4 linked regions of the Macaca fascicularis genome follow. The protein of the gene in region 1 interacts with the protein of each later gene in a pairwise test. Links are inferred from orthologs where the notes say so. Each region holds a gene or a part of one and is shown on either strand. Other genes may lie near its edges. The genes, in order: GPR25, VAPB, FATE1 and CREB3L1.

What was found.
Region 2: the proteins of GPR25 (region 1) and VAPB interact in binary tests that used the Homo sapiens proteins (3 or more experiments, as listed by UniProt). The two-hybrid records come from large-scale screens. The link is inferred for Macaca fascicularis from reciprocal best matches to the Homo sapiens genes GPR25 and VAPB.
Region 3: the proteins of GPR25 (region 1) and FATE1 interact in binary tests that used the Homo sapiens proteins (3 or more experiments, as listed by UniProt). The two-hybrid records come from large-scale screens. The link is inferred for Macaca fascicularis from reciprocal best matches to the Homo sapiens genes GPR25 and FATE1.
Region 4: the proteins of GPR25 (region 1) and CREB3L1 interact in binary tests that used the Homo sapiens proteins (3 or more experiments, as listed by UniProt). The two-hybrid records come from large-scale screens. The link is inferred for Macaca fascicularis from reciprocal best matches to the Homo sapiens genes GPR25 and CREB3L1.

What each region holds. Positions count from the first base shown.
Region 1 is NC_088375.1:58,608,126-58,615,887, forward strand, and holds GPR25 (probable G-protein coupled receptor 25), read left to right. Parts: upstream 1-2,843; 5' UTR 2,844-2,900; coding exon 2,901-3,986; 3' UTR 3,987-6,837; downstream 6,838-7,762. UniProt on the Homo sapiens protein: Orphan receptor.
Region 2 is NC_088384.1:114,483,128-114,490,256, reverse strand, and holds part of VAPB (vesicle-associated membrane protein-associated protein B/C), read right to left. Parts: intron 3,649-7,129; coding exon 3,496-3,648; intron 1-3,495. UniProt on the Homo sapiens protein: Endoplasmic reticulum (ER)-anchored protein that mediates the formation of contact sites between the ER and endosomes via interaction with FFAT motif-containing proteins such as STARD3 or WDR44.
Region 3 is NC_088395.1:157,776,450-157,784,331, forward strand, and holds the start of FATE1 (fetal and adult testis-expressed transcript protein), read left to right. Parts: upstream 1-3,702; 5' UTR 3,703-4,672; coding exon 4,673-4,778; intron 4,779-5,820; coding exon 5,821-5,948; intron 5,949-7,882. UniProt on the Homo sapiens protein: Involved in the regulation of endoplasmic reticulum (ER)-mitochondria coupling. Negatively regulates the ER-mitochondria distance and Ca(2+) transfer from ER to mitochondria possibly implicating it in the regulation of apoptosis.
Region 4 is NC_088388.1:19,538,534-19,545,662, forward strand, and holds part of CREB3L1 (cyclic AMP-responsive element-binding protein 3-like protein 1), read right to left. Parts: intron 3,776-7,129; coding exon 3,676-3,775; intron 2,700-3,675; coding exon 2,573-2,699; intron 1-2,572.

The sequences.
Region 1 (7,762 bases):
CTGAGCCCCAGACTGACGTGCGCCCAAGGGGGTAAAGTCCAGCAATACCGGGTCTGTCTCTGATGGTCTCTGGGCTCTGGCAGGCAAGCACTGCCCCTGCTAGCCTTCTAGGGGAGGAGGCTGCAGCCCCCTACTCCACCCCGGATGTGGGCACCACTCACCAGCAACCACATGCTCAGACATTAGAAAAAAGGCTCTGGGGTGGGTCTTCAGGGGAAAACCAAGCCCAGAGGCCGAAATGCCTTTGAAGGGAAGGTCCAGACCATTCATTCCCTAGCCTCTTCTCTTCCCTGTGCATCTTGTAATTGGTGTGGGAAAAATTCTTGACAGGTGCAGCCTGAACACTGCATACCCAACTCTCTGTGAGCTCTAGGACCATTTTCTTTTGAGATGGAGACTCACTCTTTCACCCAGGTGGGAGTGCAGTGGCTTGGATCTCAGCTCACTGCAACCTCTGCCTCCCGGGTTCAAGCGATTCTCCCACCTCAGCCTCCTGAGTAGCTGGGACTGGTGTGTGCCACCATGCCTGGCTAATTTTTGTAGTTTTAGTAGAGACGGGGTTTCACCATGATGGCCAGGCTGGTCTCGATCTCCTGACCACAAGTGATCTCCCCGCCTTGGCCTCCCAAATTGCTGGGATTACAGATGTGAGCCACTGCGCCCGGCCTCTAAGACCATTTTCCAAATCCTTCCTGGGGATCTCCGTGTGCTAGAGGGACCCCAAGTGAGGGTGACCTTATGTCCCAGTTTGCCCAAAATAGTCCTGGTTTATGGCCCAGGTTAATTCTCATAGTGCCCCTTTCACTCTCAGAAACATCCTGATTTAGATGATAAATTATTTCATGACTACCTCAAACCAACATCAAACTGAACACATACGCACATGCGCCTCACTGTTCTTGGCAGTTAAGGGGACAGTGTCCATATGGTCCCTAAGCGGAGAAACCCCAGGCTTATCTTTGACTCTTCTTTGTGAGACCTATGATGCTACAATTACCTCCTGAATACATCCTCTCCTTTCTGTTCCCACTGCTCATGATCTATTTCAGACACAAATAATTACAACCTACGGTGGGGTCTCCCTGGCTTGAGTCTCTCCCTTCTCCACAGTTCTGCCAGTGATCTTTTCAAAACACAGATTAATGCCTCCTGACTCCCCATGACCTATAGATTGAAATCCAAATCCCTTCATGATTCCTCCTGCTTCATCTCCTGTCCCCACTTTCCTACCCTAGGCTCTGGGAGACTGCTTGTCCCCTGAAAAGCCCACATTCCTACTCATTTCAGTATACTTGTTCCCTTCACTCCCTCCTCCGAGTCTGACCCTTTCTTCTCTTTTCTGCTGCTCTTATTTGACTTTCAGCTCATTCCTGGGACTGATCTCAAGTGTCATCTCCTAGAAGGCCTTTTCTGATTTAGCTTTCCCGTCAAAAATAATCACTCCCCCTCCACTAAACCCTAAGAGGGCTTGGCTTTTAACATTTACTACAATTTGGACTCCCGGCATGTCGGCCATTGCACATTCTGCTTATGTAACCATCTCTCCTGCCTATGCAATAAACTGCTAAGGCCAAGAATGGCATCTCTCGCAGTGCCTGAAACAGTGCCTGCTTCATGGAGGAGTTCATTGTTAACAAGTCTGAATCGAACAAAATTGATAATCCACCTCAAATTTTCCACACCAGGTTGCCCGGCACATCAGCCACTCATTCCTGGGGACACTGGGGACAGACTCAGAGGGCACTGTGACATCAGTTCCACCACAATATCTTGTGGAAGGGATATCTGCTAAGAAGAATTCAGATGTAATTGGCTGCATGCCTCCTTCAGGAGGAAGAGCAAGCATTCCCTCCCCCATCCTCTCCTCCTAAGGGCCCACCGCCCACTCAGGGTCAGACTTCATTCCCCCTCTTCTTTAGGTATCCTCCCCTTACTCTCAGTTTCTCATTTCACAAAGGATCTTGCTGCCTCCAAGCTCCTGACTCATAATTTAGGACAACTAATCTGGTGTTTCATTAGGTGTCATCTTTTGAACTGAGCTTACATCTGCGTCTGGCTTAATAGATAGCTTTTTTAGGCTGGGAGAAGACAGGGAAGAGGCAGATGTGAATCCCAGGCTTGGCCCCTGTCCAGCAGGATGATCTGACTACACCCCTTCCTAGATGCCTTAAAACCCTTCCACTCCGCTTCATGAGGACCTGTTTGGGTCAGAGAAGCCACTCACAGGGTGAAGACACAAACCCCACATTTCAGGATGCTAACAACGGTTTGAGTGCCCAGGGCGGGCTCCCCGACCCACCCAGATCTGCTGTGTCCCGGCAGTGGACTCTTTCCTAGGGAACAGGTGGATTTGGGGGGGGGGGGGCGTGCCTTAGGCCCCATACTCATAAAATCCCCTGTCTTCTCCCCTCTAAAACAGAGAAAACAGCAGCCGGTGGGTGCAGGTGGGAAGGGGTGAGGTGGAGGCTGAGAAGAGATTAGGGCTCTCTGGCACCCACCACCTCTTGCAACACGACCCTGAGGCAGTGGGGCAAGTATCCCGATTTCACGAACAAAGAAACTGAGCAACTAATAGAGGAATGGGCCACGCTCCTACTGGGAGGCGGGGCAGGTCTCCCAGCCCTGAGGACTTTTCCTCCCAAGACTTAGTTGTGAAGCCCCTTTTGCCTATTACCCCTCGGGTCAGCCCCAAATCGGAGGCCACCATCTCTCCCACAGGAGCCTGCCCCTCCCACCCCATCCCCTCCTCCCTCCTGTCTTTCCTGCCCACCCATTTGCTCGAGCTGGGGTGGCAGGAAGGGAGGTGCACGACACGGGCATGAAGAGCAAACCCCCTCCTGCTCAGAGCTGCTGCCGCCTGAGCCCAGGGCTGCACCCAGCGCAGGCCTCGTGGCCAGGCCATGGACCCCACAGAGCCCTGGAGTCCCAGCCCGGGGTCAGGGGCCTGGGACTACTCGGGATTGGACGACCTGGAGGAGCTGGAGCTGTGTCCGGCCGGGGACCTGCCCTACGGCTATGTCTACATACCTGCACTCTACCTGGCGGCCTTCGCCATGGGCCTGCTGGGCAACGCCTTCGTGGTGTGGCTGCTGGCCAGGCGGCGCGGCCCACGGCGGCTAGTGGACACCTTCGTGCTGCACTTGGCGGCCGCTGACCTGGGCTTAGTGCTCACACTGCCGCTGTGGGCCGCGGCGGCGGCGCTAGACGGCCGCTGGCCGTTCGGCGAGGGCCTCTGCAAGCTCAGCAGCTTCGCGCTGGCGGGCACGCGCTGCGCGGGCGCACTGCTGCTGGCTGGCATGAGCATGGACCGCTACCTGGCCGTGGTGAAGCTGCTCGAGGCGCGGCCCTTGCGCACCCCGCGCTGCGCGCTGGCCTCGTGCTGCGGCGTCTGGGCCGTGGCGCTGCTGGCTGGCCTGCCCTCCCTGGTCTACCGGGGGCTGCAACCCCTGCCTGGGGGCCACGGCAGCCAGTGCGGGGAGGAGCCCTCCCACACCTTCCAGGGCCTCAGCTTGCTGCTGCTGCTGCTGACCTTCGTGTTGCCCCTGGTCGTCACCCTCTTCTGCTACTGCCGCATCTCGCGCCGCCTGCGCCGGCCGCCGCACGTGGGTCGGGTCCGGAGGAACTCGCTGCGCATCATCTTCGCCATCGAGAGCACGTTCGTGGGCTCCTGGCTGCCCTTCAGCGCCCTGCGGGCCGTCTTCCACCTGGCGCGTCTGGGGGCCCTGCCACTGCCGTGCCCCCTGCTGCTGGCGCTGCGCTGGGGCCTCACCATCGCCACCTGCCTGGCCTTCGTCAACAGCTGCGCCAACCCGCTCATCTACCTCCTGCTGGACCGCTCATTCCGAGCCCGGGCGCTGGACGCGGCCTGCGGGCGCACCGGCCGCCTGGCGCGAAGGATCAGCTCGGCCTCCTCGCTCTCCAGGGACGACAGTTCCGTGTTCCGTTGCCGGGCCCAGGCCGCGAACACTGCCTCGGCCCCCTGGTAGCTGCCCCGGGCCGCTGGAGGTGGGCGACAGCGGAGCACCGAGAGGAGGGGAGAAGTCCCGGGAGGGGACCCAGATGCGCCTGTTCTGGCGGCAGCAAGCTGCTCCGGCCGGCATCGCATTGCCTCGCGCGCTGCCTGGACTCCCAGGGTCTCCTCCATCAGCTTCCCCGGAACCTCAGAGCAATTGAACTCCCCTAAACCAGGCTCCTGAGACTAGCTGTTCCCTGTCAGCCTGCAGGGTACAAGATAAGTGCTATGAGATGGAGCAGACAGCAACTCGGAGACCCGCAGATTCACCAAGAAGACAGAAGGGAAGGGGATTTCCTTCTCTGCCTCATTGGGAAGAGCACTGACCAGAAATCGAACCCAGACCCCTAAATGCCATTCTGGTTTCTGGCTGTGCTTTCTCCCGTCTCCCACAATAGCTTTTGCTTTCAGAGAAATACCTTCTCCAAGTCAGGCCCTCTGCCCTTCTCACTCACAAAACCCTGGTGTTGAATCTGGTGACACTTCTCCCCCTACGAAGCGGTAGGACTCACCTGGAAGTTGTTCTGGTCTTTCCCTCTCAACAGAAGGTCCTGAAATCGCTCACCAGGCGTTTCTTAAGGTCTCCACCACTCAGCCAGGAACCTCAAAATCTTCTCTGTGAATTCATCTTTCTCAATAAACAGACACTCCTGCTAGCCCTGTCTTCACAGTCGTCTTTGCTTGCGCAGTGGGAGTGAAATGCGTATCAGGAGGCGGGTCGCACACTGGGTGAGACAAAACTCAACACAGTAGTTGAGGTTGATCTCAGGATGATGAGGATTTGGGGTGGTGTCTGGGAGCTGAATGCTGGCTGCACTCTGCAGGTGCAGTAATCCCATAGGAGGAAGCAAATCATTTATTCTTATTATTTTTAAGGACATTTCACATTTTGAAAGCTACAGAAAGAAAATATATTTATATAAGGGCATCTGCCAGCCGGGTGTCACTTCTGAGAGAAGATGTGTCATTTTGGATTTTCAAATATATACCAGGCCTTTTTTTTTTTTTTCTATCTTTTTTCAGACCTTCCATGAACTTTTTTCAGACCAGTATGAACTGTGGGGATTAGCCATTTTCTGACTCTGTCATTTCTCCTTTGAGGTTTCTGTAGGGTTTGGAAATTCACTGTTTATACTTTTGATTTAAGAGGATTTGGCCTAAAGACATTTCAGTCAGTGTACATCCTAGCCAGATCCCCACAGGCCAGTCTGGATGTTGCAAGCTCTGGGGGAAAGGGTGGGTGTGCACGCGGATAAGCACCTCAGTGCTAGGTTGGGTCTGAAGCCTGGCATTCTGTCGCAGGCTATCCATCCCATCCCCCCATCAAATACCCCTGTATTCTCTTCAGCATTTGGAGCTGCTGGATTAGAGCAGATTGAACATCGGGTCTCCTAGATCAGCCTGCCAAAAAGTGCATTTCTGCATGTTCCTCCCATATACTCCAAGAGAGGCAAGCCTTGCAGCCTGTGAGGTCACCTCTGCCAGCAGGACACATTTCAGGCACTTTGGTGTTTGAGAGCTCGGTTAAGTCTTGGCACTTCTTATCCTCACTATTGCTCTCTGAGGCAAGAAATTATTTTTTCATGGGGCTGAGACCCCAGAATTTTCAGGGCAGGGAAGCTGACTCTGATCTGGGTTTGTGTGTAACAAGATCTCAGAATAGAGGAGGCACTTTTCCAGGCTATTGGGACTGAGTCCCCACCTCCACCCCTGCCAGGTTGCTGCTTCTGACTTACTGACTAGCTGAGTTCCCTGAAAACAGACGGGAAGAAAGAAGGTTTCTCCATGCCCTGGTGGGTTTTTGGCTCCCCTCTTGCAGTAGCTATTGAAACTCAACATTCCCCCTGCTGTGGAACTCTGTGCGGGAGAGAGAGTTTCGCCCTTTGTTTGAATAGATCACGGAATTGATCTACCATGTGTCCTTTGGAAATGTTCCCTTCAATACAGACAAAAATGAAAGAGGATCAGTGAGCTCCCATCTCCCACTGGGGAAGATGAGGCTCAGATTCAGCAAGGAACTGGTTAAACGAGCATTCCCGCATATGTGGCTGGTGGGAGTAGATTCCTTTAGAAAGCAATTGTCAATCTTTATCAAGAGCTTTAGAACTTTTCACATCCTATTTCTTTAAAATGTTTATACCCTTCGACCCTGTAGTTTTGCTTCTGCCATTCTCTTCTAATGCAACAGTACTAAATCTAAATTTTAACGTTTCTGCACTGATTTATAGAAGTTTTTTTGTTTTGTTTTTGTTTGTTGTTTTTTTGAGACAGGGTCTTGCTCTATCACCCAGGCTGGAGTGCAGTGGCGCTATCTCAGCTCACCGCAACCTCTACCTCCTGGGTTCAAGCGATTCTCCTGTCTCAGTCTCCCAAGTTGCTGGGAATACAGGCATGCACCACCACACCCAGCTAATTTTTTGTATTTTTAGTAGAGATGGGGTTTCATCGCATTAGCCAGAATGGTCTTGATCTCCTGACCTCATGATCCGCCCGCCTTGGCCTCCCAAAGTTCTAGGACTCCAGGCGTGAGTCACTGCACCCGGTGGCTGAGTTATAGAAGTTTTTAAAGAGTTAAACCTCAAAAGAAACCACTTTAAATGTCCAACAATAGTGTAATGTCTTTATTAAGATGAATGACTATTATGCAAATTTAAGATGTTCTTTAAAGAGAGATTGAAAAATGCTGACGATAACTTAAAAGGGAAAAAAAGGTAAAACTGTATCTGTTAAACGCCTCCACACACTTCAAGTCTGGAGGATGTAAAATGGTTAGCACTGGTTTTGTTAAGTAAAACAACATGCTTCATAGTCCTTCTGACAAAAAATGATCTTTTGCTCTTTTATTTCTCATAGCTCAAGTTTTGAACATTATATCTCTTTTCTCTAGGTGCTAACGGAATGCTGTCGATTTATTTCTTTGCTTCTTGCTTGTCTCTCCTGTCAGAATGCGAGCTCCATGCATGCAGACAGTTTTGTCTGTTGGTTCAAGGCTGTGTTCCCAGTGCCTGGAACATGCCTGCACATCTCAGGCACTCACTAACTACCTATTGAATGAATGATCATCAGGACCATGTCATGATATGAAATAATGTCATAGAATGTGAAATGTAAAAGGAAGGCTATTGCATTTTATGTATAACAGCTATGTTTTATTAAAGGACTTGCAAAAAAGGCTAGGAAGAAATACAATAATCATTAAGGATAATGATTGTGTTAGAGTAAGTGGATTTTAGATCCTTTTTTCCCCTCCATTTCTTTACTTTTAAATTTTCTATGAACTTTTTTTTTTTTTTTGAGACAGAGTCTTCTCGTGCAATCATAGCTCACTGCAGCCTCAACCTCCTGGCCTCAGCCTCCCCCCACCTTGGCCTCCCAAGGTTTGCTAGGATTACAGGCATGAACTACTGTGCCTGGGTTTATAAGCTCCGTCCGTCCGTCCTTCCTTCCTTCCTTCCTTCCTTCCTTCCTTCCTTCCTTCCTTTCTTTTTTTTGAGACAGAGTCTCACTCTGTCACCCAGGCTGAAATACAATGATGGGATCTCAGCTCACTGCAGCCTCCGACTCCTGGGTTCAAACAATTCTCCTGCTCCAGCCTCCCAAGTAGCCTGGATTACAGGTGCCCACCAATTTTTTTATATTTTTAGGAGAGACGGGGTTTCCCCATGTTGGCCAGGCTGGTCTTGAACTCCTGACCTCAGGTGATCCACCCGCCTTAGCCTCCCAAAGTGCTGGGATTACAGGCGTGAGCCA
Region 2 (7,129 bases), on another chromosome or scaffold:
TGCTAGCAGTATTTTAAGTTGATTTGGTGGCCACCTTTTTAAAGATTATATCTGAAAATGTACTGGCAACTTTTCACTATAAAACAAATGAATATTATACAAGGAAGAGAAAATACAAATTTCTTCTCAAAATTAGGAAAGGTCCATAAACAAACAAAATGTAGGGGTTGATTTATTTCTAAACAGTCAATTCAAGTATTATGCAATCCACCTTCTTCAAAAACTAGCCGGATTTTGTCAAAGCTAGAAGAAGAACAATGTACAAATGTACCACTCTTGTACCATGCTGTCGATTCTGCAGTATTTGTAAACATTCTGTAAGGCAGACACTATTCTCCCTACCTTACAAGTGAGAAAACAAGAACCTAGAAAGGTTAATAGGTTGGTCAAAATTCAGCCAGCTGGTTAAACAGCATAACTGGTCTTCCTGTTCAGGTTTCCTAACCTCAAATCCACTAATCTTTGAAGAGAGTGGGTAAAACCAAGCTTGGCCATGTGCACCTCCGGGGAAAAGGGGAGGCTGGCTTTTGGATAATCTGCACTGCCTGTCCACTGGTATCCTCCTCCTCCTGAGGACTCTACTGACTCACCAAGATGTCATCATGTAGCTGTATTAATATCAAGAGGACTCCCGGAAAAAGGCAGTGCTTTTTATCCCAAGCTATGCACGTCTAATAAATGATGCAGTAGTCCCTCAGCAATACAACTGCAGCAAATGGGGCTGGTCTCCTTTGCTGACTTGCAAGGCTGTCCTAGAAATGCAATGATATCTGGCTTCACCTTGGTTCCCCTCAAGCACTGGGATAAATACCAAATAATAACAAAGGAACCCTTTTCTAAGGTGCAGATATGATCTTGTCTCATCTAGGAAGAAAGTCTACAGACACATGGACATTTTATTATTCAACTACTTTTCCCCCCAAATACATTAAACTTTGAGAATGATGGTACTTTTTATATTCATTCATAAGTGGGGTCATCCTCTAACACTACTGAGGCAGTTTAGTATGACAGAAAGAGCACTGGATCAGGAGCCAAGCCACCAGCTTCAAATAGCAGTGCTGCCATGACCATCCACGTGACCCTTGATGACTATGTCACACTCTATGCCTTACTTCATCTGCCAAAGGAAGGCCACAACCACAAAGTCTTGGTCTTCCTTGTGTAAGCAATCATAGATCAGAACAAAGGCAGAGTTTGCTTTTGCTTTTTAAAACTTCCTATGATGGGGAAACAATGGATCTTCCTGAAAGAGAGACAGAGATGCCGGGCGCAGCAGCTCAAGCATGTAATCCCAGCATTTTGGGAGGCCGAGATGGGCGGATCACATGAGGTCAGGAGTTTGAGGCCAGCCTAGCCAACATGGTGAAACCTTGTCTCCGCTAAAAATACAAAAATTACCAGGTGTGGTGGCACACACCTGTAATCCTAGCTACTCGGGAGGCTGAGACATGAGAATTGCTTGAATCTGGGAGGTTGCAGTGAGCCAAGATGGCACCATTGCACTCCAGCCTGGGCAACAAAGTGAGACTCTGTCTAAAAAAAAAAAAAAAAAAAAAAGGCCGGGCGCGGTGGCTCAAGCCTGTAATCCCAGCACTTTGGGAGGCCGAGGCAGGTGGATCACGAGGTCAGGAGATCGAGACTATCCTGGCTAACATGGTGGAACCCCGTCTCTACTAAAAATACAAAAAACTAGCCGGGCGTGGTGGCGAGCGCCTGTAGTCTCAGCTACTTGGGAGGCTGAGGCCGGAGAATGGCGTGAACCCGGGAGGCGGAGCTTGCAGTGAGCCGAGATCACGCCACTGCACTCCAGCCTGGGAGACACAGCGAGACTCCGTCTCAAAAAAAAAAAAAAGAGACAGAGACATACACCTACACCCACCCATACATATTTATATTTTATATCAGAAAACACACTAACATTGTACAACTACCTACTGAGATTCTTTTATTCAGAAAACCATGCTGCGTTCCCTGTTCTTACTGTGAAAATTGGTAATTTTCATCTACTGACAAATTTGCTCAAATTTGATACGGGCATGGAAATCGAGGCGGGAAAGTAGATAAAACAGGGGAATAAAAGATTTCAGCTGCCCTTGACGTCAACAGAAAAATTTAAACCATACGGATCCAGAGGATATGGAAATGCCAAAATCCCAGTCCCTTCCTTTCTCCAGAGTGCTGCGCTGCAGTTCAAAGAGCATGGGCTTCAGAGCCAGTCAGAATGATCCACATCTTGGCTCTGTCACTTGCTAGCTTCATGATCCTATGACCACCAGTCTACTTCTTAGTAAAATGGAGGTAAAAACGCATCCCTCACAGGGCAGGTAAGAGAAATGATATGAGATAGCACATGTGCAGGTCCAGCACACAGAAGTCACTCAATCAATGCCAGCTTCCACCCTCCTGACTTCAAGATAATAACCTGATTCGAGAGTCCAGATCAGGTCTTGCAGACTCAGAGAAGCACAGGGGGAGAGCTGGCATGGGTACACCATAATGAGAGAGACCAACAGATGCAGGGAATAAGAGTTTGCAGAAATGATCAGATAATGAAACACCTTATATTTTTCCGAAGAGGTGAGTCATTTTTTTTTAGGTGTCAAATGAATAGCCAAAAGTATCACAATCAAAATCTATCATGGAAAAAGCCAGAGAGGTACTCACTTCAAACGAGCAGTAGCTTCTATTGATGCAGAAGCCTCTGTGACAGTGAGTCACCTGATATTTACAGGATAAACACACACTCCCCCAGAGCTCCTTCTTGGCTGGAGAAGTTCTAATGAGCTGAAAGTTTATTCCATTTCTAAAATGCATTTAAACTCCAACCCATCACTGACATCTCCTTAACTCTGAAATCCAATTCTCAATTTGGGCACTTTACCAGCATCTTTTCAAAAGCTGGATTTTGGAAAATATATGCACTCGCAGACAGAAGGGAAAGCCATCAGACATGCACCAAACTGACACCCTCGAGTATATTCCAATTTCCTCAGCCCTCATCTCCCTTGGCGTTCCACAATCAGTAAAGTGCAGTGGCCAATCATTGGAAATGGCATGAGCTTAATGTCAGAAATCATTTAGCTTAAGTAAGAAAATAACTCCATTTAGCTTTCTCCCACAAAGTAAAATTAAGTTTGTTTAGCCCTTTTATATTTATTGCCAAAGGGCAGATTTAATTTCAAGGGAGTGAAAACAAAACTCATTCTGAAGTGAGGTCTAAAGTTATCACTTCAGTTTTGCTCTAACTATTGAGGTGCAAAGGGGCTGTAAGCATTGAAACAAGGAGGCATTAATTATGAAAAACAGGTGACTGGGACCCAGCTTTCTGATCGGGGGTGGAGGATTGTGGGGTGGAGGATTGTGGGGTGGGATGGGGGGGTGGGTGGAGAGAAGTCTATCTTCTTCTTTTGCTACACTGCAAATAAACTTTAAGAAAATCTACTGTCCAGGGGCCTTTTGAGTCCACCCTCCAGGCCTCATCTCCGGACTTACCAGATACATTAATTGAGGCCCCTGCATCAATGATTCCACTGTTGGGCCTCACACAGTACCTACGTGGCGCTGTAGTCTTCACCTTAAAACACACATTTCGGTCTGTCGGATTGCCAAGCTTCAGGTTGGTGGTGACAACATCAGTGAAGGGACCTGTAGAATGAGACAGAGACTGATTGGGGGTCTCATGAGGAAAGTTGAGAAGGTTTGTGGAAAGGAGAGCTATAAATACAGTTAAGGGAAGATTTGAGATCCACAATTATCTCATTAACATGCCAATGGATGAAAGAGATGAGCTGAGGTTAATGTACTACCAGTAACGTCTAATATTTACCATGTTCCCACTATTTCACTAGGTACCTAGTGTAAGTATTCTAACATACAGCATCTCACTGAACCCTCACAACTTTATGATAATTGCTGTTTTGTAAATGAGAAAACTGAGGCTTGGGGGGACAAGTTACTTGTCCAAGTTTTCATGATAGTGGTAGTGAGGATCTGTAACCAGATGGCTTGCATCTAAGGCCAGTTCTTACCCATGCTAAATACTGGTTTCCACAATAACAATATGAAATCTAACAGGGAGAGCACAAAGGACTAAACTCGGTCCAAAATGATTATCTAAAGCACAGTGTGCCAAGAGGAGCAGATAGAAGAAAGACTTTGAGGTGTTAATGGTCTATAAACACAGAAACTCTCAACATTATAGTGTTGCCACAGAAAACTTTGTATCACCTTAGGCTATAGCAAGAAGTTCAGAGTCCTGCTGGGCAGTCCACACCTGAAACATTACAGACAGTATTAACTACTGAGGCTACCGGGAGGGTTCAAACAGGCTCAGTGGCCTGAAGATACTTTTTATTACTATTATTTATTCACTTCCTACTTTATTAGATTTTTTTAATTAAAAAAGTAAAACATGCTTCTTAAACCAAACAATAAAAGATGTATAAACAGGAATAAGCTTTCCTTTGTCCCCTGAGATAACTAATATTAACAATATGGGAGATCTTTCCACATCATCTATGTTTACACAAACAATATACATGCACACATGTGCAAGGGATGGGGGCTAAGAAATAATGAAATAATACTATTCCTATTACTCTGAAAGTTGCTTTTCTGCATTTACCCCTCTATGGTGGACATGTGATCTCTGTGTTTATTAGTCAGGTGGCTACAAAAACTGAGGTCCTTTTCAACACCTTTTCAAATTTACATATTTTTCACCTGTAGATAAGTATTTCTGTGTTTCCTCTAGGCAAGTTCTTTACTCTGGTCTTTATATTTGCAAGGAAATCAGAAGTGAAGGTGGGGAAAGGGTGTGTGCTTGTGTGTTCACAAACAAATACGTAATGTTGACCTAACAAAGTCATTCAAATGTATGTTCTGAAAAACTTCTCGATGAGACTCGAAGCTCCTAAGGACAAGGATTATGCCTTACCCATCTCTGTAGCCCCAGCACCGTGGCTGCATGAAATAAAGGTCTCAATCCACATATTCACCAAGAAAAAAACCACCCGTGTGTGGATTATCTCCAGCAAAATTAAAATCTCAGGCTGGTGTCTCTACTCTTGAGATGCTCAGGGCATGAAAAAAAAAAAAAAAATCAATCTGATATGGGCTTACCTTAATACAAATTAAGAAATCAAAAATGGTGATAAGGAAGGAAGGAAATGGGACTCAATCCCAAAATCAAACGACAGCCAGTTCTGCTATGAGGCTTATTCTGAAAACATAAATTTGATCCAACATTACTCATGTGCATATTAGAGGGATATTCTGGGCATAAACAATTTTCATATTTGTTTCTGCGTGATTTTGTCTGCTATCAACACTAGGGGAACACAGAAAACTGCTCCTTGCTGAACCCAACCGCAAACAAATACAGAAAACTTACAAGCACACACACCTCAACCACCTACGGGATACCTCAGTTCACCTTGTGGGTAATGAGCCACACCTATCCACACCTGGTATTACAACTTTCCATATGATTTCAGGTAATCCTCCTTACTTCAAGAAAACAACTCTTCTGATGTCCATATCCACAGACAAACTTTGGGTCTTTTTCAAGAAAAATGCCATATCTGCTGTAGCATTTGTGGTTTTACCAGCACCCTATCTTTGTGCATGCGTCACCAACAAAGGCTTTGAGTGCTGTGCTCCTAACCACACTTCCCTCAAAAGCCCTGTGGTTTTTACTGAGCTATTCAGTATAGTGTGGTGATTCCAGGAATGCATTACAGCAGAACTGACTATACTACTGCATCATCTATTGTTTTGTGAATTATTATTACAAACACTATTCTCATTCCACGAGCAGTGACATCTTCACAGATGCAACACTCCATGAGAATTTCTCCATTTGCTTACCTTTCTATCACAAACAACTCTATCACTACACTCTAAGTCAGCTCCCCATTGAAAACTAAGAGTACAAAGGAGGCCAGGTACCTGTGGCCCAAAAGGATTTTCAGCTACAGTAAGGGAGAGCCAGATGCTGATGCTGCTCCATCCTTGCATCAAGTTCTTGGCATAAAGGGAGAAACAGGACACTTGGTGCTGAAGCAGTGCTGGGGAGATGATAGAGGCAGCACTCTCCGTGACTACCCTTTTCCACTCTCCAACACAGGCAGTCTGACTCATAATAAAGACGGAGAAAAAGCTGTCCTCCAAGTCTCTCTGCTTGCTTAAGGAAGGGATCACTTCAGCACTCACAGAGTAGGGGGGAAAAGACTAGCTATGCAAGCTCTGATTTTCTAGGGTCAAAGCAGCAATAAAACACACACACAGACAGGCATAAAGGACACACAAACCTATGAGGGCACAAGCAAATCACCATGTACATCCACTCCCTGACCCTCATCTAAAAACTGCAACTCAGAAGAACTCCACATAAGCACAGCAGCACCGCAACACTGGGGGAAGGGAGAAAAAAGTGGACAAAAATGTGCACGACATAAAGAGACACCTGAAATTAGGGTGAGCTTTCAAATATAAAGCCTAAGGATGACAGGTACTCAACGACAGTTTGAATGTGATTCAGAAACTCTCAGGCCACAAAGCGTTCTAAATCAAAGCTTAATCAAAGCTTAAAGTGACTAGTTTCAACAAGATTCTGCCTCAAAAACATGGAAGTATCTTCAGAGCAGAATGCCAAGAATTCATAATGGCCCCCAAAACATCCAAAAATACATAGATCTTTTTTTCTAAAATGGTTTGAAGTATAGTGAGAGCAGCAAACCAGGATGCTGGCAAGATTCCACTGTGATGAAATCCAGAATACTTGCTAGTTTCCAATTCAGTTTCTAGTCTCTTCCTTCCCTCCTCTCCCCCTTATGAAGTTGGGGTGTGAGGATCCCAAATTTAAGTATTTGTGTATTTCTTACACTGACCTCTTCTTCAAAGTACTCTACAAAAATAAGCCAAATGTAAATGTAAATATTTAACTGTTTTTAAAAATTTCCCCAGGTTAATCCATTGCATCACAATTAATTGCTGTTACACAGCAATCTTAATGGTGCTTCAACTTACATAAATCACATAAAAGGAAGTTTAAATTGTTAAAAGACAAGCAATATCTGTAATAATAAACAGGATAAAATAAACATCCCAGATTTCTCCCTCTGCA
Region 3 (7,882 bases), on another chromosome or scaffold:
CTTCCTATCCATTTGATTCTCTGTTCACTAGAGCATGAACTTTGTGAGGACAGGGACCTCATCTCCATCCCCAGTGTCTAGCACACAGTCAATCTTGATTCAAGACAGAAAGCTGGAAATCAACGTGGCCCTGTCCCCATGGAAGTGGGTCCTAAGGGCTGCCCTAAGTGGCCCTGATACTTTTAATTTCCCTCTCTCTGCTCACAAGGTGGCCTTCCTTCCCTGGGCCAGCTATGGTCCCTGCAGTTTGACCCTGTGTCCTTCTGTCTGTCATCCCTGCCTCTTTAAGGAGAGGCGGGAGAGATGCAAGACTCTGCTAGTCCCCTTTCCCCTTCCTCTCTGGTGTAGGGAGGGCTTTGGGGCTCCAGGGATGACCTCAGTACCAGCTGCTTCCAGGAGCAGGAAGGAGAATTGTTTATGGGTCCATAAGGTTCATTAACAAGCCAAGAGGAAGCTCTCAGCTGCCTGGAAGATCCAGGTGCACTCATTTGCTTGGGTGTGGGGCTGTAGCTGCCTGAGACTGGGCTCTGAGCAGGACTGGGAGATAGGAAGTCATCACACCCAATGGCTTTTTTTACTTTCCTTCAAGACATTTGGCTTGAATGACCTCTTCCATAAAGCCCCAATATAAGAAAGTGGTAAGAGCTGAGCTGCTCTAGATGAAGAACAGCTAGAGTTTGCCTTGAAGCCCAGGCAGCCCCCACAAATCTCCCTAAAATTTCCATGTGAAGATGGGAAACTGAGGATCCAAGCAGGTGAAGCAACTTGCCTAAGATATCCCAGTGGCAGGACTCTGAGTCACTCACAGATATGCTGACTTTGGGCTGGGTTCCTGACATCTCCTGCTGCAGCTTGCAAGGGAGGTGGGAACATGGGGCAGACAGAGCTGCGACCCTGAGCCGCTGGGAACTGGAGCAGAGTGCTCAGCTGACTGAACATCTGGAAGAAGCTAATGGTTGGAAGGCACTGTTGGAGGCAGGTGATCAGGCTGGCTGGGGGCAGGCAGAGAAGACAGACAGACACAAGGGCAGATGGGCAGGTAGGTAGGCAGCAGCCTGAGTTGGACACCTTCTCCGTGGGTGGCTGGGTGCCCTCTAGGTTTCAGCAAAAGCTTGGATGCAATTAACTGGATTTGTTTGGTCCCCAGTGGAGGCTCTGGGCTCACGATCCCCCTTAGGGAAAAAGATGATACGTTTCCTTTGGAGATACTTAACTTGAAAGGAGGGAGAGTTTTTGTCTTATTCTTTTCTGTTAATAAAATAGCTCTTATTTTAATAAAGATCCAAACCCTCCAGCAGACAGTTCATGGGAAAGAAATACAGAAGATCAATAAACATGTGAAAAATTGCTCAAGATTATTCAGAATTAAGGCAATATAAATTAAAGCAACAATGAGATAGATATCATTTTTCACCCATTATGCCTTTTAAATAGGTGCATAATATTTCTGTTGATCAGACTGGGAAGAAACACAGACTTTCTTCTCCTAGGTAAGGCCTCACTTTGTACAGCCTCTTCGGAGGCTCCTTTGACAATATTGGTCCCTTTAGGTCAAAATAATCAACACACATACCCTAGAACCCCACAATTCCACTTCTAGGCACCCACTGTGCAAACACATTTACATATGTGTGCAGAGAGACATGTTCAGGAACGCTCAGTGCTACATTGTTTCTAAAAGTAAAAAAGCTCTAGACACCCAAAATATCCATGAGCAAGTCAATAAAGGAGCAACGGGAGGCAGCTGTGTAGGGAAATGCTATGCTGGGCTGAAAAGAAACGAGGTAGATTTGTTCTGACACGGAGAGATCCCCAAGGCACCTGGTTCACTTGAAAAAATAAGTTGCACAATGGCACACATCTCAGATTTGTAAGATCTCATTTATGTAAAACACTGCACATTGAAAGCAGATAGACACACATACAAGCCAGGTATGTTCTGGACCCTTCCTTCCCCTATGAAGAAGCATCTCTCGAACCTCTGGGTGAGCAGGGCCTTCCACTGGAGTGTTAGGGCTCTGCAGTCTGTTGTCTGCAATTGGCCTTGTGCCATCTTCCTGGACCCAGGCACCGTGTAAGACTTGAAAGATCTCCCTCTGTATCGCAGGTGCTCTAGTCCTTCGGGCCCCTGAGGTTAGCACCCAGACTTTGGGGTAGGGGGCTTTTCAGAATGGTTGGAGTACGAATTTCGGGCCATTTCAAAAGGAGATTACTGTGTAAATTACAATTATGAAATTATAATTAGCTAACATGCTAAGAGACAAATTCAAAGGCACATTAAACTCTCTGTCACCTCCAAGTTGTCTTTGGCACTCAATCCAAGCGGGGAAGGCACGCTAAGGGGGTGAGATGTTGGGGTTTCTGAGTGGCCTTGGGGGTTCAGGGGTTGGGAAGGAATTCTCCCACCCTCTTTGCTTGGCTTTAGGTGGTGGATTCTTATGCCACCAGGGGGCAGTGCCTCCACATGCACCTGGACCCTGTGCTCCTGTGCCCAAGAAGCCCCACCAGGGTCAGTTGATAACTAGACAGAAATCTGGCCTCCATAGCCTGAGGCCCTGTGGCAAGCCAGTGCCTACACTACTGTAGCTTTGCTGACTTCTGAGTGCTCCTCACAATCCAGCCACCCTGTAGGGAGGCTTGTCCATGGTGGAGACTGACACCAAAAGAAGGGAGAAACTTGCTCGAGGTAAAATCTTGAGGTCATAGTGAGATAAGATTGTCAGATAGAATACAGGATATGCAGCTAAATTTCAATGTTAGATCAACCCATGAATCCTTTTTTTAGTGTAAATATGTCCCAAAGGTTAGTGTACAAGAGAGAATACTTACACTACAAATGTAGTATAAGTACAGATGTGTTGTTTATCTGAAATTTAAATGTACTTCGTATCTGTATTTTCATTTGCTCAATCTGGCAACCTTGGCTGGGCTTCCCAGGCTCCTGAATCCCACTAAGCTGAGCACACTCAGTAGTTTCTCTGCTCCCAAGGTGGCCCTCCAGAAAGCTCAAATTTCATCGCAGCTGCTCCACTAGATCTGGGAAGGGCTTCTTTGGGGCCCCCAGGAATGCAGGCAGGGCCTATATCAGCTCTGCTTCCCAAGAGCTCGGCCCCAGCGCTGGACAGGTGAGGTGGGGGCAGGGGACAGGCAGCCTCAGACCATGCTGCCCTATCTCAGCTAGTTCTGACCCCTTCCTTTGCACTCCCTCTCCTTCCTTCCTTCCTTCCTTCCTTCCTTCCTTCCTTCCTTCCTTCCTTCCTTCCTTCCTTCCTTCCTCTTTTCCTCCTTCCTTCTTTCCTTCCTTCCTTCCTCCCTTCCTCTTTTCCTTCCTTCCTTCCTTCCTTCCTTCCTTCCTTCCTTCCTTCCTTCCTTCCTTCCTCCCTTCCTCTTTTCCTCCTTCCTTCCTCCTCTTTATCCCACCTGACCCAAGGGCTCTGGGGGAAGAAGAGGCTATTTCTAAAAGGAACGTTTTATAAACCTGTCCTGATTCCTTTCACAAATAGCCTCCTATTCCCCCAGGGGCTCTGGGGTTGTTTCCTAGAATGAAGGGTTCACCACAGGTCGTGTAGCAATCAGTGTTTTCCAGAGAAACATAACTGATAGGATGTATATATGTATGTATGTATATATGTATATATCTGCATATGCACAAGTATATATACATTTATTTTAATAAATTGACTTATGCAATTGTGGGGCTGACAAGTCTGAAATGTGCAGGGCAGCCTGGCAGGCTGGCAACTCAAAGAAGAGTTGACACTGCAGTCCTGGGGTAGAATTACCTCTACTTTGGGAAACCTCAGTCTTTGCTCTTCAGGCCTCTCAGTTGATTGTGTGAGACCAACCCACATCATCGAGGATGTGTCTCTACTTTACTTCAAGTCCACTGGTTGTAGATGCCAACCACAGCTACAAAATGCCTCCACAGCAACACCTAGACTAGTGTTTGAAGGAGTCACTGGGGACTAGAACCTGGCCAGGTGACACATAAACCTGACCATCACAGTGGTCTAATCAGTAGGGAAACTGAGGGAGAATTGGGACTTAGAAGGTGCAAGGCCTGAGGCCCCTGGGAGTTCTAGTGGCTGCAGTCAGGTCCCACCTCTCTTACCCTTCTCTCCCTTTGTTCTCATGGCTCCTGCCTAGTCTGACCTACTTCAGAAAAAGGCTACCTCCCATGTCTGGGGACTCTGGATGGGGGAGGTAGGATATGCTCTCCAGAGAATCTCTTCTGAAGGTGTGGTATGGCCTGGATTGCTAGGACCTAACTCTGCTGTAGCCACTGCCTGGCTCTTGGACCCTGTGCCAATCCCTGTTTCTTCATAGAAATGATGGAGGGTAGACCCTACCCTTCCCCCCATGGGCTAAATATGGAGATTCATGAGCCAGAGCAGTTCTCACAGTCAAAGGCATGGAATTGTATCTCTTCTCCTAAGTTGCTTACAGAGTAGCAAGGAGAAGGCCACGGACCTAGCCAACAAGATACAATAGAAACAGAAAGTGCTGAGTCCAAGGCCTCAGCCTAGAGAGGGAGTCTTGCTCCACCCCCAGGTCTGACTATATCTTCCTTGAGCTCCTGTTCCAGGAAGAGGTGATTTTCTGAGTGTGACTCCTCTGTTCCTGGCACCCTGTACATCCTTAGCCATAGCTTACAAGTGAACAGCTGGTTGTGATGGCAGGAGGCCCTCCCAACACCAAGGCAGAGATGGAAATGTCCCTGACAGAAGAATTGAATCATGGACGCCAAGGGCAAAACCAAGAGCACCTGGTGATAGCGGGTGAGGATCCCCTAAAATACCCCTAGGCTACAGCCAACTGTGTAGATACATGTCTGTACCTGTGCATGTGTGTGTTGGGAAAGGTGCATGTGTGCATGGAAGTGTTTGCACATCTGTGTGTTGGGCGGGCTTTGAGGATTTGTGGGTTGATGGTAAGGGATCTAGGAGAAAAGGGATAGATGATGTGAGCATTTTGCCCTGGGAGGGAGGAGGATGGGAACAACATGTGTGGTCCCTCTGTCTTCCCCTTGTCCAAGCCACCACAGTGTCTGTTGCAAAATACTCAGAGGGCTCAAATTATGAGACCAGAGATCAATTCTCTCTCCCAACCCTCGAATTCATTTTCCTGCCATTTGGAGGAAAATCCAGACTCCATGATCTATAAGATTGTATCAGCCTCCTCAAAACATTTCATACTATGATATAGACAGAAAATACCATTTCTATAGCACACAAAGGGATCCAGATCACATTGCATTTATGTTTGTTCTTACAATGCTCCAAGCCTGCTTCTTCCCCAAAGACCTTGCATTTGCTGTTTCCTCTGTCTGGAATGCTCTTTCCCTCAATTTCCCAGGGCTGGGTCCTTTATTTTTTTCAGGTCCCTGCCTCAATTGTTGTCTCCTACTTTTCTAGAAGGAGCCCTTTCCTTCCACTATGTTACCCTGTTTTGATCATTTATGGAGCCTGCATCTCTCTGTCTGCATTTGCAAGGATAGACCTTCTGTTTTACACCTGTCATTCACTCTTATACACAAAACAGATGGTCAGTTCCTTGATAGCTGGAATCTTGTTCTTGGTCATTGCTCTCTAGATTACTGGAGAGTAACCTAGTCTCGAGCTGAGCCCTCAGGATTCTTGTTTAACTTTTGAACAGATGAACAAACTGAGACCTGGGATCAGCTGGTGGACAGTGGTTAATGGGTGCTGAGTGATTCCCAAGAAAGCTGGGGACTCTGTCTTCTTTTTGGTGTGTTTTGTGCCCAAGAAGCCCTGGTACAACTTCTATGGGTGCTCCTGGGGTCTCTGTTCTTCTCTCTAGAAATGATGGAGCATGGATCTCGGTCCCTGGGTGCCTCCCAGAAGAGGCAGAAGTTGGAACAAAAAGCTGCTGGCTCTGCTTCAGCGAAACGAGTTTGGAATATGACTGCCACCCGATCCAAGAAAATGGTACTGCATGGGGTCCTCAGCACATGTTGGCCAGGTTGGGGTTGGGAGTACTGGTTGTAGGGGCTGTAGCCTGACCAGGTCAGGCAGGGCTAGACATTGACTTGTGAGGAGGAGGAAGCTCCTGTATTCCAAGCTGGCAAATGAGGACAGAAAGGTCAGGGTCATCCTTTCCTATGCTTGGGATGCAACCTTGGGAGTTCAGAATGCCTGAAACAAATATTGCATGGGGAGTACATAAATATTTCACTCTGTAAATCCATTGTGTGAAATAACGCTTCCTGTATTTAAAATTGTGTGTGTGGTGCGTGTGTGTGTATACACACAATAACTCAGGTGAGGCTCCTACGCTTTCTGGCTGTTAAGAAATCCAGTCAAGTCGTCTGGCATGGTGGCTCATGCCTGTAATCTGAGCACTCTGGCAGGAAGAGGTGGACGGATCACTTGAGGCCAGGAGTTGGAGAACAGTCTGGCCAGCATGGTGAAACCTTGTCTCTACTAAAAATACAAAAATTAGCTGGGCATGGTGGCACATGCCTGTAATCACAGCTACTCAGGAGGCTGAGGCATGAGAATCGCTTGAACCTAGCAAGCAGAGGTTGCAGTGAGCTGAGATCATGCAACTGTACTCCAGTCTGGGCAACAGAGCAAGAGAAAGAAAGGAAGAGAGAGAGAGAGAGAGAGACAGAGAGACAGAGAGAGAGGGGGAGAGAGAGAGAGAGAGAGAGAGAGAAAAGAAGGAAGGAAGGAAAAGGAAAAGAAAGGAAAGAAAGAAAGAAAGAAAGAAAGAAAGAAAGAAAGAAAGAAAGAAAGAAAGAAAGAAAGAAAGAAAGAGAAAGAAAGAGAAAGAAAGAAAAAAGAAATCCAGGAAAGTGAATCTGACCATTTTGTAGCCAGTCCTTTTAAGCTACATTCGATATGGGTGAAGGAATGTTTTAGAATAAATAGTGGCTATACTGTTGCAAATGATATTGGGAAAACAGTCATTTTGGATGGGGAGGGAAGCCTGACTATTCTAGAGAATTAAGTGAGTCCCACAGTTCTGTAGCCAATCATTTTAGCTAGCTAAATTCACTGTGAGTAAGGGAAAGTTTTACAAAAATTGTTGTTATGCTGTTGCAAAGGCTGCTGGGAAAAGGCAACAAGATTGGAGAGGGAGGGAGGTCTGACTGCTCCAGGAAATCATGTGAGTCCCACAGTTCTGTAGCCAATTCTTTAAGCTACATTCATTGTGGGTGTTGAATCTTCTAGAAAAATGCTGGCCACATTGTTGCAAAGGATACTGAGCCATTTTGCAGAGGAGGTAGACCTGACCGTTTTAGGGAATCATGAATCCCATAATTGCGTAGCCAATGTTTTTCACCACATTCAGGTGGATGAGGGAAAGCGTTAGAAAATGGTGGTTTTACTGTTACCACAGTAAAGTTTGAAAGTTATTGGGGGGCAATAAGGTTGGAGAGGGAGGGAGACTTGATTGCTGAAATGATTTATTGGGTAGCCCCAGTGAAGAATGAGAAAAAAAGCTTGCAAGTTAGAGATTTCCTGGGAATAAAAATAAGTCAAATATTGAGTTGGCTTTTTGTGTCCAAAGACAGAAGCCAAATCAAGTTGCTCCAGGAAGTCAGGCTCCTGCAAGCCACCAACGTCCCTGAGACTAGAGGACAGGCTGGGCAGGCTACTTTACTGATCATTCCTTTCTTCAGGGGTCCCAGCTGCCAATGCCCAGAATGCTGAGAGAATCAGGCCATGGGGATGCCCATCTCCAGGAGTACCCTGGCAATTTCCAAGGCATGCGTTTCTCTGGTTTAATTAAAGTTGACTATGAGGGCTAGAGGTAGACTGTTTGAAAATATAGACATTAAATTGAATTTATAAATTAAATTTAGAAAGAGGAAATCTAATTTATTAGTTCCATTCATTCATTCCTTTATTTTTGA
Region 4 (7,129 bases), on another chromosome or scaffold:
CCATGTTGGCCAGGCTGGTCTTGAACTCCTGGCCTCAAGTGATCCTCCCACCTTGGCCTCCCAAAGTGATGGGATTATTGGAATGAGCTACCGCATCTGGCCAGTCCACCACTTACTTTCTGTGAGACCTTGAATAAGTCTCTTCCCTATTCTAGATCCTAGTTTGCCCTTCAGAGAAGGAAAACAAACATCTGTTGGACGCCCACCATTTGCTAGGCATTATCTAAGGCCCATAGACCTAAGTAGAGTGGTTAAAATCTGAGAGAAACTCTAGGGAATGAGGTTTCTTTCCTTTTCTTTTCTTTTTTTTTTTTTGAGACAGAGTCTCGCTTTGTTGCCCAGGCTGGAGTGCAGTGGCGCGATCTCCGCTCACTACAAGCTCCGCCCCCTGGGTTCATGCCATTCTCCTGCCTCAGCCTCCCAAGTAGCTGGGACTACAGGCGCCCGCCACCATGCCCGGCTAATTTTTTTGTATTTTTAGTAGAGATGGGGTTTCACAGTGTTAGCCAGGATGGTCTCGATCTCCTGACCTCGTGATCCGCCCGCCTCGGCCTCCCAAAGTGCTAGGATTACAGGCATGAGCCACCGCGCCCGGCCAGGAATGAAGTTTCTTTAGCCCCACTTTCCAGAGGAGGCAACTGAAGTTCTAGGCACTCAGGGAAATTGTCCTCCCTGAAAGGAGGATGCGAACCCAGGTCTGCCTGGCCCTGGGATCTGCCGCCCCTCCGGCTCTGCAGCCATGACCTCATAGTATGTGTGAACAGCAGTCCCTGGAACTGTGCAATGCGCCAGCTCTGCAAACCAGCCTGCTCCAAAGCCATCTGCCTGCTGGGATGTGTCCTCCTCCTCTCCACCCAGCCCAGGTCCTGGGCCTAAAACCCACACTGCCTTCTCTCCAAGGGGTTCATTCATTCCCTCCTCTCACTGTGGCTTTGTCCATCAACCCCAGCTCTCTTTCCACTCCTTTCCCTCCAGTGGCTTTTGTGGCCTTGGAAAAGCAGACACATGGCTCTCCAGACCTTGCATTGCTGCTGCCCACCCACCTTTAGTGACCACCCTGTTCTCTCCTCCTCAGCCTGCACGTGTCCGGGGAGGAGCTTTCATTCTCCCTGTCTCTACTTCCTCTTTCCCTAACCCTCCCCACACCAGCTTCCTCCCCTCAAGGCCCTCAATGTCTAGCTCATCCTCCCTGCTATAGCCCTCCTTCTTGAAACTCACTCTTTAATCTTCCCTCCTCTGACCTCCCATCTGTTTCCTCTTCCTCCTCCTGTCCTGTCAGACACGTGGTAATTGGTAAGTGACTGACTGGTAAGTGATGAGGGACAGCCAGGAAGTTCCTCTGGGGGTCCACCTGAAGGATTCTCTCCCTCTGAAATCCACACTCTTCTTTGCTGGGCCCTCCCCTGGTTCTCCTTTTGCCAGCTACTGTGATGTAGCTATTCTCTCCTCCGTGAGCTCAAAGAGACTGAGTGTGCTCATTTCATAAGCACAGACACTGCTGTTTCATGCCCTGTCTCACAGCCATGGCTCAGTAAGCGCAAAATTGCCACTCCCATTTTCTAGATGAAGAAATGAAAGCTTAGGACAATTTCTTCATTTCTAGATGAAGAAATGAATTAAGACACATGCTTCAGGTTACACAGCAAGTGGCAGTGCCAGTTACGACGGACTTAACATCCACATGCTCCTAACCACTGTACTTTACTATCCCCCTTGGAAACGGTAGATATCTGAACCCACACCACCACTACCCTTCCTCTGTCCACGGTAGACATTATTAATGGACCATGACACTCCTTCCTGTCAATTCTGAATGGTGCCTCAGAGTCCTTCTTTTTTTTGAGATGAGTCTCACTCTGTCACCCAGGCTAGAGTGCAGTGGCGTGATCTTGGTTCACTGCAACTTCTGCCTCCCAGGTTCAAGCGATTCTCCTGTCTCACCCTTCTCAAGTAGCCGGGGCTACAGGCACACGCCACCATGCACAGATAATTTTTGTATTTTTAGTAGAGATGGGGTTTCACCATGTTGGCCAGGTTGGCCTCGAACTCCTGACCTCAGGTGATCCACCTGCCTCGGCCTCCCAAAGTGCTGGGATTACAGGCGTGAGCCATCGTGCCCAGCCCAGGGTCCTTCTTAACACAGTGTTTCAGGCAGCTACCACCACCTTACTGGAAATGGCCTTTGAACTGAAACTCACTTGCTGTCCCTATCATGAGGTACTGATGGTGCCTAGCAGATGCCGCACAAGCACTAGCACCATAATGCATGGGGCACAGGGCTGGAACATTCCTGTTATCCCCTAAACCCACCTCCTGCAAGCCACTCCTGAAGCTCTCTGGGAGCTAGGCTGGGCATTGAGAGCTCTGTATTTTAGTCCCAATTCTACCACAAACACTGAGCAAAGCATAAACTCTCTTTGGGCCTCAGTTTCCCCATCTGGAAAATGAGGCAGAATGAGATAATGCCGACCCCACACTTGGCTTCTCTCTTATGTCTGGCTTCTGCCTGGACACTGGGGCTGGGGCAGGGCAGCCCCAGACCAGGGAGCTGGCATGACAGGTGGGCACTCACTCTGGCTGGCCGTGTAGATGCTGTCTGCGGCCATGGGGTCTTCCTTCACAGTCTGGGAGCCGGAGGAGAACTCGGGAAGGCAGGGCACGAGGGAGCCCAGCACCAGAACAAAGCACAAGGCTGCCACCTGGTAGCAAAGAGACAGTGGCATCAGATCTGGGGCAAGGAGGGGCTGCGGCCCTGACCACCCCACTCCTCCTCTCCCAAACCAACAGGCACAAAAGTCTCAGCGTTTTCCCAAAGAAGCAGCTCCTCCAGCTGACCACTTCCTCCCACACGTGGGGTCTCCCATCCTCTCTGGGGAAGGCAGGGGCCGCTCAGGCCATCCCAGCCCATTGTAGAGGGGTCGCCACAGGCAGTGCTAGAAGTAAGAGGGAAGTGGCCAATGTGGAGTCACCCTATGGGGTAGAGGAATCAGGAAAGGAAGGAATAGGTGCAGGCGGGGCTTGGGGCCGGGACGAGGGAGGGGGACACATCAGCACGTCACGTTCTCAGCCGGCTTCTGGGGAGTCTGGCTAGCGGGAGGTGCTGAGAGCCAGGGAGCCCACACTACCCCTGCCCATAGCCTGGCTCTGCCGTCTGACAGCTCGAGGGTTTTAGAGGGCCGGGGCCTGCTGAGCTAGGCAGCAAGAGGCTGGCCATTTCCAGAAGAAGATGGAAGAGCGACTGGAAGAGGTCTGAAGCACACCCTTGGAGCCTTCCGGGTTTCCAGGGGCTTCCTCAGCCTTTTCACTGCCATCCGTTCCAGAAAGAACCATGTCCGTACTTCCCTGAGTCTCCCCAAGCCCTTCCCTGCACAAAGCCTGTGGAAGCCACCTCCTCAAGGAACCTGCCCAGTTGTCCCCTAGCTGGGGCCACGGGAGTCACCTACACATCTACACTGTGTTAACCAGTCGGGGACCGGTGTGAGGCAAAAGGCACCACGGGCTCGGAGAAGGAGGCTGGGGTCAGCTAGAACCGGCCCACCAGGCGCCAGGATGGTGTACCCTGGTGATACTGCCCACGATGTTACCGATCCTCAAAGCTCTGCCCAACCCTGGAAAATGCCAGCCTCGGAAAGAACTCTCCTCCTGTGGGCCTGTGGTGGAGGGAGCCACACCTACCATGAGGCAGGTCCCAGTCTGGGTGGCGGCCATCTTGTAAGGTCTGGAGATCTTGTTGGTGACCAGAGTCTGGAGTTTCTGCAGCTGCTGGAGCAGGGTCCTGAGGAGGGCACAGCAGTCAGCTGGCAGGCTTTGACCCCGCAGGCATCTCTGCCTCCTGGAGCTCTCCTAGGGGGCTGGCTCCAGACATGGCCTCCACGCCAGGTGCCCGTTTCAGCCAAGATAGGAAAGGTCACCTCCTGAGTGGCTCCTCTGCAGAGTGGCCTGGCACCTGGGGCCTGCCTCATGGTGACTGGTTGGGTCACCCTGTGGAAGCTCAGGCCTGCCCTGTGATGCTCCTGGCCAAGAGGGTTGGAGGAGGGAAGGTCTACCCCCAGCTGCGCGGAGGCCAGCCTTCTTTTGCTTAACAGACACCTGCCACAGGTTCATTGACCTTCCCTCCCTGGCACCCCCAGCATCCTGAGCTGATAAGAAAGAGCTGTTTGGCACAGTGCGTGGTATATAGTGAGTGTCTAGTAAATGGTAGCTATTGTTTTTGTTAGGTTTTTTGTTTTGTTTTGTTTTGAGACAGAGTCTCGCTCTGTCGCCCAGGCTGGAGTGCAGTGGTGCGATTGTGACTCACTGCAACCTCTGCCTCCCAGGTTCAAGTGATTCTCCTGGCTTAGCCTTCTGACTAGCTGGGACTACAGGCGTGCGCCACCACGCCCAGCTAATTTTTGTATTTTTCGTAGAGACAGGGTTTCGCCAGGCTGGTCTGGAACTCCTGACCTCAGTGATCCATCCGCTTCGGCCTCCCAAAGTGTTGGGATTACAGGTATGGGCCACCGTGCCCAGCCATTTTTGTTTTATTGCTGAGTTTTTGTTTTATTATCAAGGCACTTCGTTTATTTATAGATTTCCACGTCAGTCTCCTTTACTAACTGTGGCCTCCCTGAGGGTGAGGACTAGGTCCCACTCAGTGTGGAATCTTCTGGGTGCACACAGAATGCGTTCGGCACAGGCTTGGTGGGAAAATGTTTTCTCTCTCTCCACCCAACCGGGCACATAGGGGTTGCAGTTCCCACAATGTACAGCAGGTGGCGAAATAGCTCCAAGGGCCTGGACCTACTTTGGGCCAGAAAGGAACCCCAGCCAGAGACAGAGGGGTGGGGTGGGGGGTCAGGTGGGATTCTCCAGGCCAATCAGGGAACAGAGGAGTGGCTGGATCCCGCTGGAGAAGCTGAGGGAGAAGGAAGGAAAGAAGGAAAAAGTCTTGTGTTGAGCACCTGCTGCATATCAAGGCTGTTGTCTAGGTTATTGTAATTAATCCCAGCAAATAATTATTAAAGACCTACCACAGGCTCATGGCTGGGTACTATCAGGAATTTGGAATGAAAATAATGGCAGGGTGTGGTGGCTCACGCCTGTAATTTCAGCACTTTGGGAGGCCGAGGCAGGAGGATTACATGAGGTCAAGAGTTCAAGACCAGCCTGGTCAACATAGCGAAACCCTGTCTCTACTAAAAATACAAAAATTAGCCGGGCGTGGTGGTACATGTCTGTAATCCCAGCTATTTGGGAGGCTGAGGCACGAGAATTGCCTGAACCCCAGAGGTGGAGGTTGCAGTGAGCCGAGATTGTGCCACTGCACTCCAACCTGGGCAACAGAGCAAGCCTCTGTCTCAAAAAAAAAAAAAAAAGAAAGAAATAAAAATTTAAAAATAAAAATAATAGAAGAAGACCAGGTGTGGTGGATCATGCCTATAATCCCAGCACTTTGGGAGCCAAAGCAGGAGGTATGCTTGAGCCCAGGAGCTGGAGACCAGCCTGGGCAACATAGCAAGACCCCGTCTCTACAAAATACTTAAAATTAGCCAGGGGTGGTGGTGTGTGCCTGTGGCCCTAGCTACTTAGGAGGCTGAGGGGGTGGGAAGAATCAAGAGTTTGAGGCTGCAGTGAGCTATGATCATCCCATTACGCCCCAGCGTGGGCAACAGAGTGATACCCTATCTCGAGAAAATAAATAAATAAAAATAATGAAAGAAGAATAAAAGCTAACATGAATTGCACATTCCTAAATGCCAAGCATCAGGCTGGGTCCTTTATTCGCAGGATCTCATTAATACCCTCACATCAATCCTATGAAGTAATGTTTCTTTTCTTTTTTTTTTTTGAGATGAAGTCTCACTCTGACACCCAGGTTGGAGTGCAGTGGCGTCATCTCAGCTCACTGTAACCTCTGCCTCCTGGGTTCCAGTGATTCTCCTCCCTCAACCTCCTGAGTAGCTGGGATTACAGCCATGCACCACCACACCTGGCTAATTTTTGTATTTTTAGTAGAGATGGGGTTTCACCATGTTGGCCAGGCTGGTCTTGAACTCCTGGCCTCAAGTGATCTGCCCGCCTTGGCCTCCCAAAGTGCTGGGATTACAGGCGTGAGCCACTGTGCCCGACCCTAGGAGATAATGTTTCTATCATCCCCATTTAGACGAAGAAACAGGGGCCCAGAGATATTTAATGATTTCTCCAGAGTCACAAAAATGGCAAAGCAGTATAAGAACCCAGAGCTGTGACTTTACGTGGCTGCTACCTGCCAGGCACTGCGCTGCTGTCTCTACACTCCTGTTTCTCAAACTTCATAGTGCATGTGAATCACCCAAGACCTTGTGAATGTGCAGTTTTTAGCTTAGTAAGTCTGGAGAGAGTTCTGATAGTCTGCATTTTTTTTTTTTTTTTTTTTTTGAGATGGAGTCTCGCTCTGTTGCCCAGGCTGGAGTGCAGTGGCCAGATCTCAGCTCACTGCAAGCTCCGCCTCCTGAGGTTTACGCCATTCTCCTGCCTCAGCCTCCCGAGTAGCTGGGACTACAGGCGTCCGCCACCACGCCCGGCTAGTTTTTTGTATTTTTTTTAGCAGAGACGGGTTTCACCATGTTAGCCAGGATGGACTCGATCTCCTGACCTCGTGATCCGCCCGTCTCGGCCTCCCAAAGTGCTGGGATTACAGGCGTGAGCCACTGTGCCCAGCCTGCATTTCTAACAAGCTCCCAGGCGATGCTGATGTTGCCTGTCCGGGGCAACTGGCTTTGAGTAACAAGGATTTACACCAGTGGTTCTCAAACTTGAGGGTGCAACCTAATTACCTGGAGGACTTATTAAAACGCAGGGCGCTGGGCCCTACCCCCGGAGCTTCTGATTCAGTAGACCTGGCATGGGGCCAGAGAATAAGCACATCTACTAATTCCCAGGGGTTGTTGTTGGTCTGAGGACCACAGTTTGAAAACACCTGCTCACTTAAGCAACTCCCCCACCCTGCCAGGTGTCTAGTAGGTGAGGAAAAATGGGAACGCAGGGAGTGGCAGGATGTAAGTGGCCCAAGGCTACAGGGTGTGTTTCTGGGGTCCCTGTTATCCTAAACTTAGTTCTCTCTCCTCTCCCCTGTCTCCCAGAGCTATGCAAAGCCAGGCACGGGTTGCAG